Linked DNA regions of Astyanax mexicanus. The protein of the gene in region 1 purifies or fractionates together with the protein of each later gene. This does not show direct contact. Links are inferred from orthologs where the notes say so. Each region holds a gene or a part of one and is shown on either strand. Other genes may lie near its edges.

Region 1 (3,754 bases):
AATCACAGCAGCCTTGTAACAGATCATGAGCAGAAAATGCTAATTTCCCTCCTACTTGCTCTGTTTTTAACTAGCAGCCCAAGCAGTTAGAAGTATATTTTCCTCAAAATACTGCGACTTTATTCTTTCGTACTATTATGACCTTAATCTAATAATATAACGATTGTTATTTTTTTATTTTTTATTGTTATCTTGTAACATATCACAACTTCATTGTTATATACAGGAGCTTTAAACGCTGCTTCTGATCTGTTATGCCATTGTAAAAGACTAACTTGCTATTTATCTGCCATCAATGTATAAATGTGTGTTTTAATACCTAAACTAACTAACTATAAATAAAAATATCCTGTATTTAATGGTGCATTTGTTGCACGGTTTCTGTACCCGGCGCCTCAGCTTTCCAAACGCTGGCTTTGCAGCTAGTTAACGTTAGCTTAGCTAACAACTGAAGCTAATTAGCGTTAGCTGGCTACGACGGAGAGGGCGAAAACAGAGATGGTCATTAAAGAATTAAGGCAACAAAATCTGAATTACGCATAAAATCACGAATGTATGTTCTACCTACAAAGTAGACAGAGTTTAACAGTCACACACGAGATTTTAACCACAAAACGACGATGCTTTGTGCTCGCTAGCTTGCTAACCGAGTTAACAGGCTAATGCTAACTAGCTAGGAGTAGGCCGAAGCTCATTTTAAAAAGGATTTTTCATTATTAACGTAACTTAGCTTGTAAAGGCTAATACTGAATTAAATTGTGTTAGTTAGAAATAAATATACTTAAAAATATATACTTAAAAGAAAAATTTAGCTAGACGACTACTAGACCACGTTAGCCGCCTAGTTAGCAAATGCTAACGCATCCAAATACGAGTAGGCCTGTATGTGCAACACAGCGTATTAGCTAGCTACCTTATCCAATCTTAAATTAACTTAAAATACAGTTATGTGCAGTTAATATGACTTAAATATTTACCACTACAAATGCTTAGCTACTATCCTAAAAGCCAAGTTAAACAACTAGCTAGCACGGTAATACAAGTTACGGGTTTAATTTAAAAGAGTATGCTAAACTACCCAGCTAATAGGCTAGATAGCCCTCTTAAATGTTAATGTGCTGCTGATCCACTTAAATGCCTAAGAAATTAAGGCCAAATAATTAAAGCTAGCTATAGACAATATTTTACTGCTTTATCTACAAGAATTAGACCAAGTTAAATAACCCTAATTAGGTAGATACCATCCAAATACGAGCAGGCCTGTATGTGTAACCATGCTTATTAGCTAGTTTGTGTACTACAAGAGTAAAGTTAAATATATGTGGCTATTTTTTTTTGCTATCTATGTATTAACTAACGTCATGTGATGATAACTGGGTTTAAAACTACTTGATAATAGTGTTAATAGTAAAGCTATTGAAATGTACTGGTCTTACTAAAGTTTCTAACGTAGGTAAGCAAGCTAGCTAGGCTACCAAAGCTAACCGGCTGGTTTATGGGCGGCTGATACATTTAAATGCCAGTATAAACAAAGCCAACTGGCTCATTAAACTGTATCCTTAGTTAACTTAACTGTTCAGCTAGCTAAAGAACTGGGTTAGATAACTTAGTTGGTTAACCACATCCAAATAAGAACAGGCCTGTATGTGCAACAATGCTTACTACCTAGTTAACCTAGCCACTAAAAACGGAGTCAGCCAAATATAAACATATACATTAGCTTACTAAGAATGAACTAATGTTATGTAGTGTTTAACTGACTTTACAAACACTAGTTTAGTCGTACAGCGTCATTTTAAAACAATATTTAGCTATAACTTAAATGAATCTAGCTAAATCTAGCTAAAGTTACTAGTCTCAAACCAAGCTAAGTACTTAGCTAGCCGGCTAGTTCATAGTTCATGCATTTAAACGCAGATATAACCAAAATAACGTAGTTAACCTACTAACTAAGTAACACAGTGCTAATATCGTTAAAACGCTGGTTATTACCGCGTTAAAACGCCGCAGTTAGTTAACGCTAAAAACACTGAAAGCGCGCGGCCCCCCTGCAGCGGGAAAACGCCGCGTGTGCAGCGTGCGCGCGCGCGAAAAAACAAGCGAACAAAAGCGCACGAGCCGGCTAGCGAACGAACCAGAGCGCAAACCGATCAATAATCGACGCTAAAGCGGACGCACCGCGCGCTAACGCTCGTGCACGGCGCGTACCGACGGACTTACTTTGACTTTGTGCAGAAACCGGTAAAGACAGAGCGAGCAGGAGGCTGCAGGACGGTGGACTTCTTCAGCAGGGCTTCACCTGGCAGCGCGCCAACCAGCAGCTCCTCTAAGCGGCTGCAGAAGAAACATGTGCGTCAAGCCACGCCCCCTCAGCGCAGCCACGCCCCTACGTGCTCACACACAGCCAATGGCTTCCTGCGAAGGGGTAAAAGAGGCGTGGCGTGGGATTTAAACTCCCTGGGTTTTTCTCTTGGTAAGTACAGTGTTGCCAACTTAGCGACTTTGTCGCTATATTTAGCGACTTTTCAGACCCTCTAGCGACTTTTTTTGTAAAAAAAAAAAAGCGACTAGCGACAAATCTAGCGAGTTTTTGTGGTGTTATTGGAGACTTTTGGCGACTCTGAGATGAACACGCGCTCTTCAGTTCCTGTCCTCCGCGCTGCAGCGGGCGCTGCCGGGAGCCCCGCCCCACACCACTCACAGTGCAGACCCACACACACACACCGCTCCACGAACACACTGTAAATGAATCGCGCGTGCCCACAGCCGCCGCTGACTGACCCCGCTCTGTATTTACAGAGCAGAAGTATAAATATAACTGTGTCTTCAGTGTGACACGAACAGAAATCCCTTAATTTAACTCACACTGTCTCAGTCATTCACTCACCTCATTCACCACACAGCCTGTCACTCACCTCCTCCACAGTTACACTCTTTATAAAAAGCTAAACATCTATTGAACCATTGAACAATTTGTCTATGATAGGTTTAAAAATAAAGGAAACTTAAGAAAACGTAAAAAAATACAAATAAAATAAAACAAAGCTAAATACAAAGCTAAAAAAAAATAATAAATAAAACAAAGCTAAATATCTATTGAACTATTGAACAATTTGTCTATGATATATTTAAAAATAAAGAAAACTTAAGAAAATGTAAAAAAAATAAAAAATAAAAATAAAACAAACAAACTAAAAAAAAAGTAAAAAAAACATAGAATAACAGTTCCGGTTGCTCTTTTAATAACATTTAAGAACATGGCAAAAAACTAATTTATGTAATTCACGTAAAAATGAAGTTAATGTAAAAAAAAGTGACGTCCTATTTAAAAAAACAACAGAAGTTGTTCCTTTATAACATTTCTAACACATTTATGGTGTTTTTACTCACTTTTTTCTCTCCCACAACCCTAATACTTTACAGCTTCAAAAACATGTATTATGCAAATTAGGCGATGACGTCATTTAGCGACTTCTAGCGACTTTTAGGACAGCCAATAGCTACTTTCCTTACTGAGGAGTTGGCAACACTGGGTAAGTAGTGCTGCGACCAAAAGTGTGAAAAGTATTTCCATACACATGCATTACTCAGGTAGAGTAAAAGGTATATATACTAGTGTTTAAAATACTTCTGTAGAAGTTGAAGTATCAACTCAAGCTTTTTACTCTTTAAGTAAAAGTACTGGTTTCAAAACTACTTAAAGTATAATAAAAACACATTTTTCTAAAAGCCATAATAACTATTAGGGGTGGGC
Region 2 (3,754 bases), on another chromosome or scaffold:
TACAAATAATGAAGTGCATCTTAAAAAGGGTAAACCCAATAAAATGTACAATACCAGCAATCCCTTTAGCACTCAGGAGTGAAAAGCATCTGAGCTCTTGCACCTTGCTGGACTTCACAAGGCCTCAAAGGACTGCAGCTAATGGATGTTAGGTGTGAGTTCAGGGTGACGCCATCTCACAGAATTCCAGGACTGGGAAACTGAGCCTCAGTGTTAATTTAAGCTCCAATTTAGAAAAATTAAATTCTAGAAACTGAAGTTCTAGGTGTTTGAAAATAGTAAAAGAAGTAGTGAGTAGTAAGAATCCAGGAAAAAGCACTTTGCAACCAAAGAAAAATAACATACATCTAGCGAAAATTAATATGAACACAGCCAAAAGTAATATGCACAATTAAAAAGCAGTAAGCAGAGGAAAAATATGTATACAGAAAAACAAAAATGTGCACTTTATTGTACGCATAGGAAGAAAGTGGAATAAACACTTTACACAAAATTAACAAATAATCATAAAAAGTTGTAAACAGTTTAAAAAAAAAAAAAAATAGTACGCATAAGTATGGCTGCTGTCTTCTATTAATAAATGTACATAATTATTGAAAGTCGCTTTGGACAAAAGTGTCTGCCAAATGTAATGTAATCTAATGTTAAAGTATGCATTTAGAAAATACACTATGTACACTTTAATGCAGTTTACATCCAGAGAAATGTAACATGCATTTAGAAATAGTAATAGGCACACATGATAATCCATTATTAACCATTAGACTATTTGTATTAGTAAACCTATTAGACTAATAGTATTAACTATTTAAAAAAAAATGTCTACACAGTTAAAAAGTATTTCAATAAAGGTGTCAACCATATACAGTCACTGGTGTCACAGTAAAAAATATATACTAATTTGTAAAATTAAATTTTCAGACTTAACTTCGAATATGAATTTGAAATCAGTTCACATCTATGAAGAGTTTTGACTGTTACTGTGGGAAACGCTGTCCCAGAGGGAGGGAAAGTGCTCTGTCAGGAAGAGCCAATCGCTGAGTTTTATGTCCGCGGTGACGAATCGCCTCAGCGACCAATCAGAGGCGGCGAGAGGAGCTCGCGGAGAGCTCCCGCCAATTCTGAGTAAAGCGCGAGGGAACAGCGGGGAAACGGGCAGAAGGGGGAAAGCAAAGCCCGGGCGGAGAGAAGAGCACAGCGGCGCTACAGTAACGTATTCCGCCCCGCTCTCTGTTACAGAGTTAATGAGACCCGGGACCGTTTATTCTGAAGTTAAATAACCTTCTTTAGGACTCTGTCGCTGCTTCGCGAGGCTGTGTGAGCTACCAGAGCCGGGGCTAAGTTGAGGAGACGGATGGTGGTGGTGATGCTTGCGGCCGAAGACCCTTCCGCGGATGGGCCTTTGGCCTCTACGCCACGCAGAGGTGCGAGTCTGGGGTGTCGTTTCGGGTGTCTTTATTTATTTCTGTGTTTTAGTTTCCCAAAGGCTTGTTTAAACTGGTTTAAAGTCTTATTTTCTGCCAACCGTAAGATTTCACCTGTCTGGCCAAGTTAGCAAACCAGCTAGCGTTAGCTAACCTAGCTTATAGATATAGTTTGTAGTTGGGCAGTTAGCCAGTATAGCTAATTTAAGCTAACTACTAACTAGCTAAGTTTGTTGTGAAGTGTTTGGACATGTCGACTATCAGACTTTACTCACCTTCGTATATTGCCATATAAAAAAAACGACTTAAGGGCTGACTTTCTTTTTAACATTTTACACAAATCGAATGCTAATGTCATTTAGCCGACTTAATTAATTTGAAAGCTAAGCTAACTTAGGTAGCGCTTATTTTTGTTTTCGTGCGGTTTTCATATTGTCCATTTTGGTTCTTAGGAGATGTAACTAGCTTAGGTAGCTAACTATACATGTAATTGTGACTTATGTAAGTTAAATGTAACATTAGTTATTTTAGCTAGGCTAAACCAGTCAGGACACAGGGAAAGTAATGTAAGTTAGCTGTAACGTCTGCTCTCTTCTGAGTTCAGGGGCGCCAGCTAGCAGAAGCAGTGGCTGCTCTCAGTAGTAAAGTGCACAGCCGGGCCTGCTGCATAATGGATTCAGTGAATGGCGGGAGAGGAAAAAAGCAAACATTTAGTCAGACGTTAGTAGTTACTAAGCTCAGTCTGCCTGTTCGTCTTGGAAACATTAAAACCGTTCAGTCTCAGTAAGGGCTGTAGGAGGTTCAGTAACTTACTTGAATAGTTTGTTCATTCTGGTCAAGGCATGTTTCCTCAAAGGACCCTCACAAATTGTCTGAACTCTTAAAATGTGTTTATTAACGTGAAAACTGATGTGAAACTGACATATTGTTGCTTTGTACTACGGATGTCATTGTTGTTAACGGTTTAAAAAGAAGTAAATCAAAACTAAGTTCCATTTTCCAGGTTTGTAGATGTTGCTAGCTATATATCTAACTAGGTTAAATGTATTTGAAATAAACGGCATCATTCAGAACTGAAGCTCGAGGCAATAATACAAATCTGGTAATTCAAAATGTCTTTTTTAATGCAGGTATGGACTGTGTGGACAAAGCAAGTGCTGCCACCAAGAAGCTTGTGCAAGGTAACTGGCTAGTTCTGTATGTTACTGGAGAATTCAACTGTTAGCTATGTGTACTGAAAGAGACTTGATCTTAAGTAATATATATATATATATATATATATATATATATATATATATATATATATATATATGAAATGATTTAGTTTGTGTAAGAAATTTGGTAATTTGTCTTGGTTTTAATTAAGCTCTAATATGTATTGGCCACTTGTATATGCACAGTGTATTTACATGCATAACATAAGTGTGTATTGACAAGAATCTGGGAACACAATACGTGTTATGATAATGGGGTTACAGTTCAACTTATTGCAGTACTGGTAGCAAGACAATTTCGATTTTTTAAATGTAATTTTATAAAAGAAGTATAAAACACACCATCACATGCATTAAATCAATAGAAAAGTTTATTGAGCGAAAAAAAAGGTGTAATCTGAAGACATCTAACAGGATATGTATTACGATACTGAGGTTACAATTCAGTACATTGCAATATAATTCTCTCAAATTCAAAATCTAATTTTAGAAAAACTCACCAGCCTATGCATGACATTTAATAGTGGAATCTGAACAAATTTTGAGCAGGAAATTTACATCTAATTGAACCAAAGTGCATCAACAAATCTTCGGATGTATACTGGTAAATTAATAATACATAAAAAATAGTATTTTCATACACTCCTTTTTTGTATTGTAACATTCACAAACAGATTTTTGTATACTCTTCGGTCAGCATGTCCCAGTAATTTAAAAATGCTCAAACTTGATTGACATTGAATCAATGTAAAGGCCAAAGCATTAATTTTTTTTTTTTTTTTTTGCCTTTTTCTTTGGCAGCCCGTCTTCCCTTCAAACGACTTAACCCAGAACCCAAGGAGACTAGGGAGAAGAAAAGAACAAGAACTGGACCGGCTGCTCCCCCTACCCATGAATCCAGTGCTTTGGATAGAGAGAATAAAGAAGATGAACCCTCCCTTCCCTTGCAACGTAGACCTGCTTTGGTTAATGGGCGTGGGCCCCTTGATTGTTTCATGAGTAGGAAAAAACGTACTCCAGTTAGCTCTTCTTCATCTCTAATGATTGACTTAACAGAGGAATCAAACTCCACTGATGCTCTTAGAGAACAGCCATCTGCTCCTGTAGATGCCTCTT
Region 3 (3,754 bases), on another chromosome or scaffold:
CATGTGATACAATCTTCTCTGGTTGTTGGTCAGACCTGTCTTGGGTGGGAGCAAGAAAGTAAACACAGGAAGAAGGTTCTGTGTTCTGGACTAGTGTCCATGTGTGTGGGCAGACCACATATAAAAACTGAGAGGTCTGTCTTTTTTCTTTCTTTACCTGTAGCTGTGCCAGTATGGAAGATTTCTTAGAGCTGGAGGAAAAGGAGCGTGAGCAGGATGCGCTGCAGAAGCGTTTACTCCTGGAGTAGAAGCTTCCTCTGGTGCCAGAAACACCACACTTCTCACAGACAACTGCAGACAGACACAGAAGCAGGATTAAGTAAAATCTGTCTCTTTAAAACTTTACAATATGCATCTTAATAAATAGCTTTTAATACCAAACAGAATGCAGAAAAATATAATTCAAAAATGAAACATTTCTACTGATACATGTTTGACTATCAGTTTACTCTGTACTAAAATAGTTCCTATATCTAAAGGAGAGTTTAGTTATTCAAACTTTTAGGTTTGTTTTAGCTATACCTGTTACATCATTGCGCACAAAAGAACCACGTGAACGAAATGTGGGACTAGTAACCACTCCATCAGAATGGTCCTGCTCTATGTGTTCATTCTCCTCTTCTCCATTCTCTTCCTCCAAAGCATCAGAGTCTAGATCCACAGGAGCCCCTGTGTACTCTTCCTTTAGAGAGAAAGAAACTTAAGAGCATTAATACAATAGACAGAATTTCAATTACCCTGAAGTCTTAACTTAAATTTGAATACAAATAAGTTAATATGGTTACTATTTTTATTTTATTTTTAAGCATTTATGCAGAAATGGTATATTTTATTATTACAGATCAATATATTTCAGCTATTAAAATGTTAATATGTATTAGAATGTAGTGCAAGACACTTTTGATCATGGGTTGGAAGAGATATACAGTTTATACAGCATTTGTTACTGACTGATGTCCATTACAAGGTGTTTTTAAGTTATTCATTGAGAGTTATTCATTCATTTGCTCCTCAGCTAAAACTTAGTTCAATTGTACCGTTTAATCTAGTTAGTTTAGTTTTTTTTTCCATGGACAGCCCTAATACTCACTGCTTCAGAGTCCAGGGGCTCCATTCCCATGTCGTGTTTCTTTTTCTTTGGACTGCAGGACACACAGCCCTTGCCGTGACAGTTACTGCAAGGCCGGCGGATGAAAATTGTAGGAACAGCTCCCTCATTTAGCTTCAGCCCCCTGAACCCCATGGCTTTGGCCACTGCGTTGGATCTCGGCTCAAAACAGTCCTTGCTAAAATGTTCAGAGCACAGGAAAGAGAAGCCCTTCGCATACCATTTGCTCCGTGTCTTCTGTACCTGCTTTTCCCATTTGCGGAAGCTCACAGGGTCCTTTGGAAACCTGAACATCGTGACATTGTCTTTATGGGTCTTTCCACAGCCATATGCTGCGCAGCAGTTGGGCATTTTCCCCCCTTAACTGGTATAACTGGTAGTTAGATGAAGAAGAACTATTCTGTGAAGAGTACAGCTCACAACACAGCAGGTCCTCTGAAACACACAGGATGCACAGGATGAGAGTTGATTATTACTGACAATCATGTGTCAATATACAGTATATAGAATAGCTTAATCATTGCTGTACCTTGTATTGTAGCTTAGTGTGGACCAAATAGACTTTTTACTAGAGCTGTGTATTGGCAAGTACTTGGCAATACGATATATAGCACATTACAGGAGGTACGATTCAAGATATCACAAGGTGACATATTGTGATTGTTTAAATCAAAATAATTTTTTACGTGAAAACAAAAAAAAAACATTACTGGCTATGCATCTCACACAGTGCAGCACTGCTATCTAGTGGTTGGGCTTTAAACACAACAGAAAATGAACCATCTGTGAATCTTTACATGTAAACTAATTAACAAGTAAACTACTGACAACATTACTCACCAGTTCTTAATAAATGCGAGTTCAGAGATCAATTTTTGGTGGAATAAGCCTGATTTTATTCATAGCTTTTATGCATCTTGGCATACTCTCCACCAGTCTTTCACACTGCTTTTGGGTGACCTTATGCCACTCTTGCCACACAAATTAAAGCAGTTCTGCTGGCTTGTGACCATCCAGGTTCCTATATTTGAGAGAAATGTTGTCAGTAGTTTATAGATTAAAACAGCAATGTTCATTTCACTCAAACATATAACTATAAAAAGCAAAATCAGAGAAACTGATTATTTTTAAGTGGTATCTTAATTTGTTCCAGGGCTGTATATTATAACTAATAATAAATTGATACAGTAACGTTATATCAAAACAAAATGTTGCAATACACTGAAAAATCGAGGACACAATAATAACTATAATTTACTCAATAAAAATAAAGCTGTAGTTTTATATTAATATGTACAGATTCATGTAGGTTAGCTAACCTAGTTAGCTTTTAGACACATTGACATTATGTAGTTGGTAAACTGCAGTAAGCTGTGAGTTGTGGAGCCGCTTAAACCAGATACAAACTAAAACAGCTGTACTAACATTAAATAAAGCATGGTTTTATTCTGTGAAAGGGGAACCGGGGCTGCTCTGCTATTTGTTTTATTAAACGACAGTGACTATTTTCTTTAGTCACATCATCAACACAGCTTGAAAAATTAGTTAGCTCTCTATGAATGAAGAAAATGTTAAACAGCCATACCTCAGACTCTCTCCTCCATTGGGATATAAAGTATGGATCCTAGCAGAGAACACGACATAAAAACATACCAAACATTGCATAAACAACGTGTTTCAGCCCAAAACAGACCCCGCAGCCCCACACCGCTCCTCCCAGCGCCTCTCCCGCTTCTTTGCGGATCACGGGCTGAGGGCTGAAGGCGTGCTGCTGCCCCACAGTGGAGGAAGATATTCACGCCTTACTGTTTAAAACCGCTCTGTTCACTTCTATACTCACATATCAGCTGTAACTAACACATTTATATAATGCAAACTGTAGATCTATCGTATGATTGGACAAACAACTATTTTATCTGTTTCATTATACAAACTGCTATCATATTATCATTAAATACACAAACTTCTACCCGTAGCGATATGGCGGTTCCATGGTGTAATGGTTAGCACTCTGGACTCTGAATCCAGCGATCCGAGTTCAAATCTCGGTGGAACCTGACCTTTTCCATCTAGCTATTAAATATCTCAATCTGTCTCTCATATTATTTTTGTTTTAACGTTAAATGTCCCGGTTGAGTTTTTTTTTGCAATAAAGTAAATTTAATTATTTAGTATTTAATGCATTCCTTACTTATTATGGGGTCATCATACAACTTTATTTTATTTTTTTACTTGATTAAAAAAATACTATTTTGTACTGCTCCTCTAATGCACAGTCAAAAGTGACCCGCATTCACTTTCTACCTTTTGCTGTCGGAAATATCTATATACCAATGAGAAGCTCAGATTTTTTGTCAAGCCCCGAGTTTCCCAGTTGGGGGCGTGTCAGTAACAATAAATTCATTTAACTTAATTATATAAATTGATACATTTAATAAATTGATGCAGACAGGTCGTAATGTAAACTGCGTAACACTTAAACACTTGCAAGTTGTTATTAGCTAATTAATAAAATCAATACGTGGGGAAAAAAACGTAAAAGTCTAGTATGATTTACAGATCTAATAGAATAAAAATATCACTCAGCTAATAAGGTCTTATTTACTTTATTATCTTGGAGTAGGGCAAAATAAAACTCTCGTTTTT

The links.
Region 2: the proteins of cbx3a (region 1) and chaf1a purify together in Homo sapiens (affinity purification with mass spectrometry; 5 studies listed by BioGRID and IntAct, with this or other methods). This does not show direct contact. The link is inferred for Astyanax mexicanus from reciprocal best matches to the Homo sapiens genes CBX3 and CHAF1A.
Region 3: the proteins of cbx3a (region 1) and l3mbtl2 purify together in Homo sapiens (affinity purification with mass spectrometry; 5 studies listed by BioGRID and IntAct, with this or other methods). This does not show direct contact. The link is inferred for Astyanax mexicanus from reciprocal best matches to the Homo sapiens genes CBX3 and L3MBTL2.

What each region holds. Positions count from the first base shown.
Region 1 is NC_064410.1:62,359,481-62,363,234, reverse strand, and holds the start of cbx3a (chromobox protein homolog 3a), read right to left. Parts: upstream 2,369-3,754; 5' UTR 2,221-2,368; intron 1-2,220.
Region 2 is NC_064423.1:23,636,508-23,640,261, reverse strand, and holds the start of chaf1a (chromatin assembly factor 1 subunit A), read left to right. Parts: upstream 1-1,123; 5' UTR 1,124-1,354; coding exon 1,355-1,424; intron 1,425-2,554; coding exon 2,555-2,605; intron 2,606-3,439; coding exon 3,440-3,754. UniProt on the Homo sapiens protein: Acts as a component of the histone chaperone complex chromatin assembly factor 1 (CAF-1), which assembles histone octamers onto DNA during replication and repair.
Region 3 is NC_064422.1:28,444,605-28,448,358, forward strand, and holds the start of l3mbtl2 (lethal(3)malignant brain tumor-like protein 2), read right to left. Parts: upstream 2,871-3,754; 5' UTR 2,694-2,870; intron 2,130-2,693; 5' UTR 1,949-2,129; intron 1,544-1,948; 5' UTR 1,460-1,543; coding exon 1,091-1,459; intron 683-1,090; coding exon 523-682; intron 292-522; coding exon 158-291; intron 1-157. UniProt on the Homo sapiens protein: Putative Polycomb group (PcG) protein. PcG proteins maintain the transcriptionally repressive state of genes, probably via a modification of chromatin, rendering it heritably changed in its expressibility.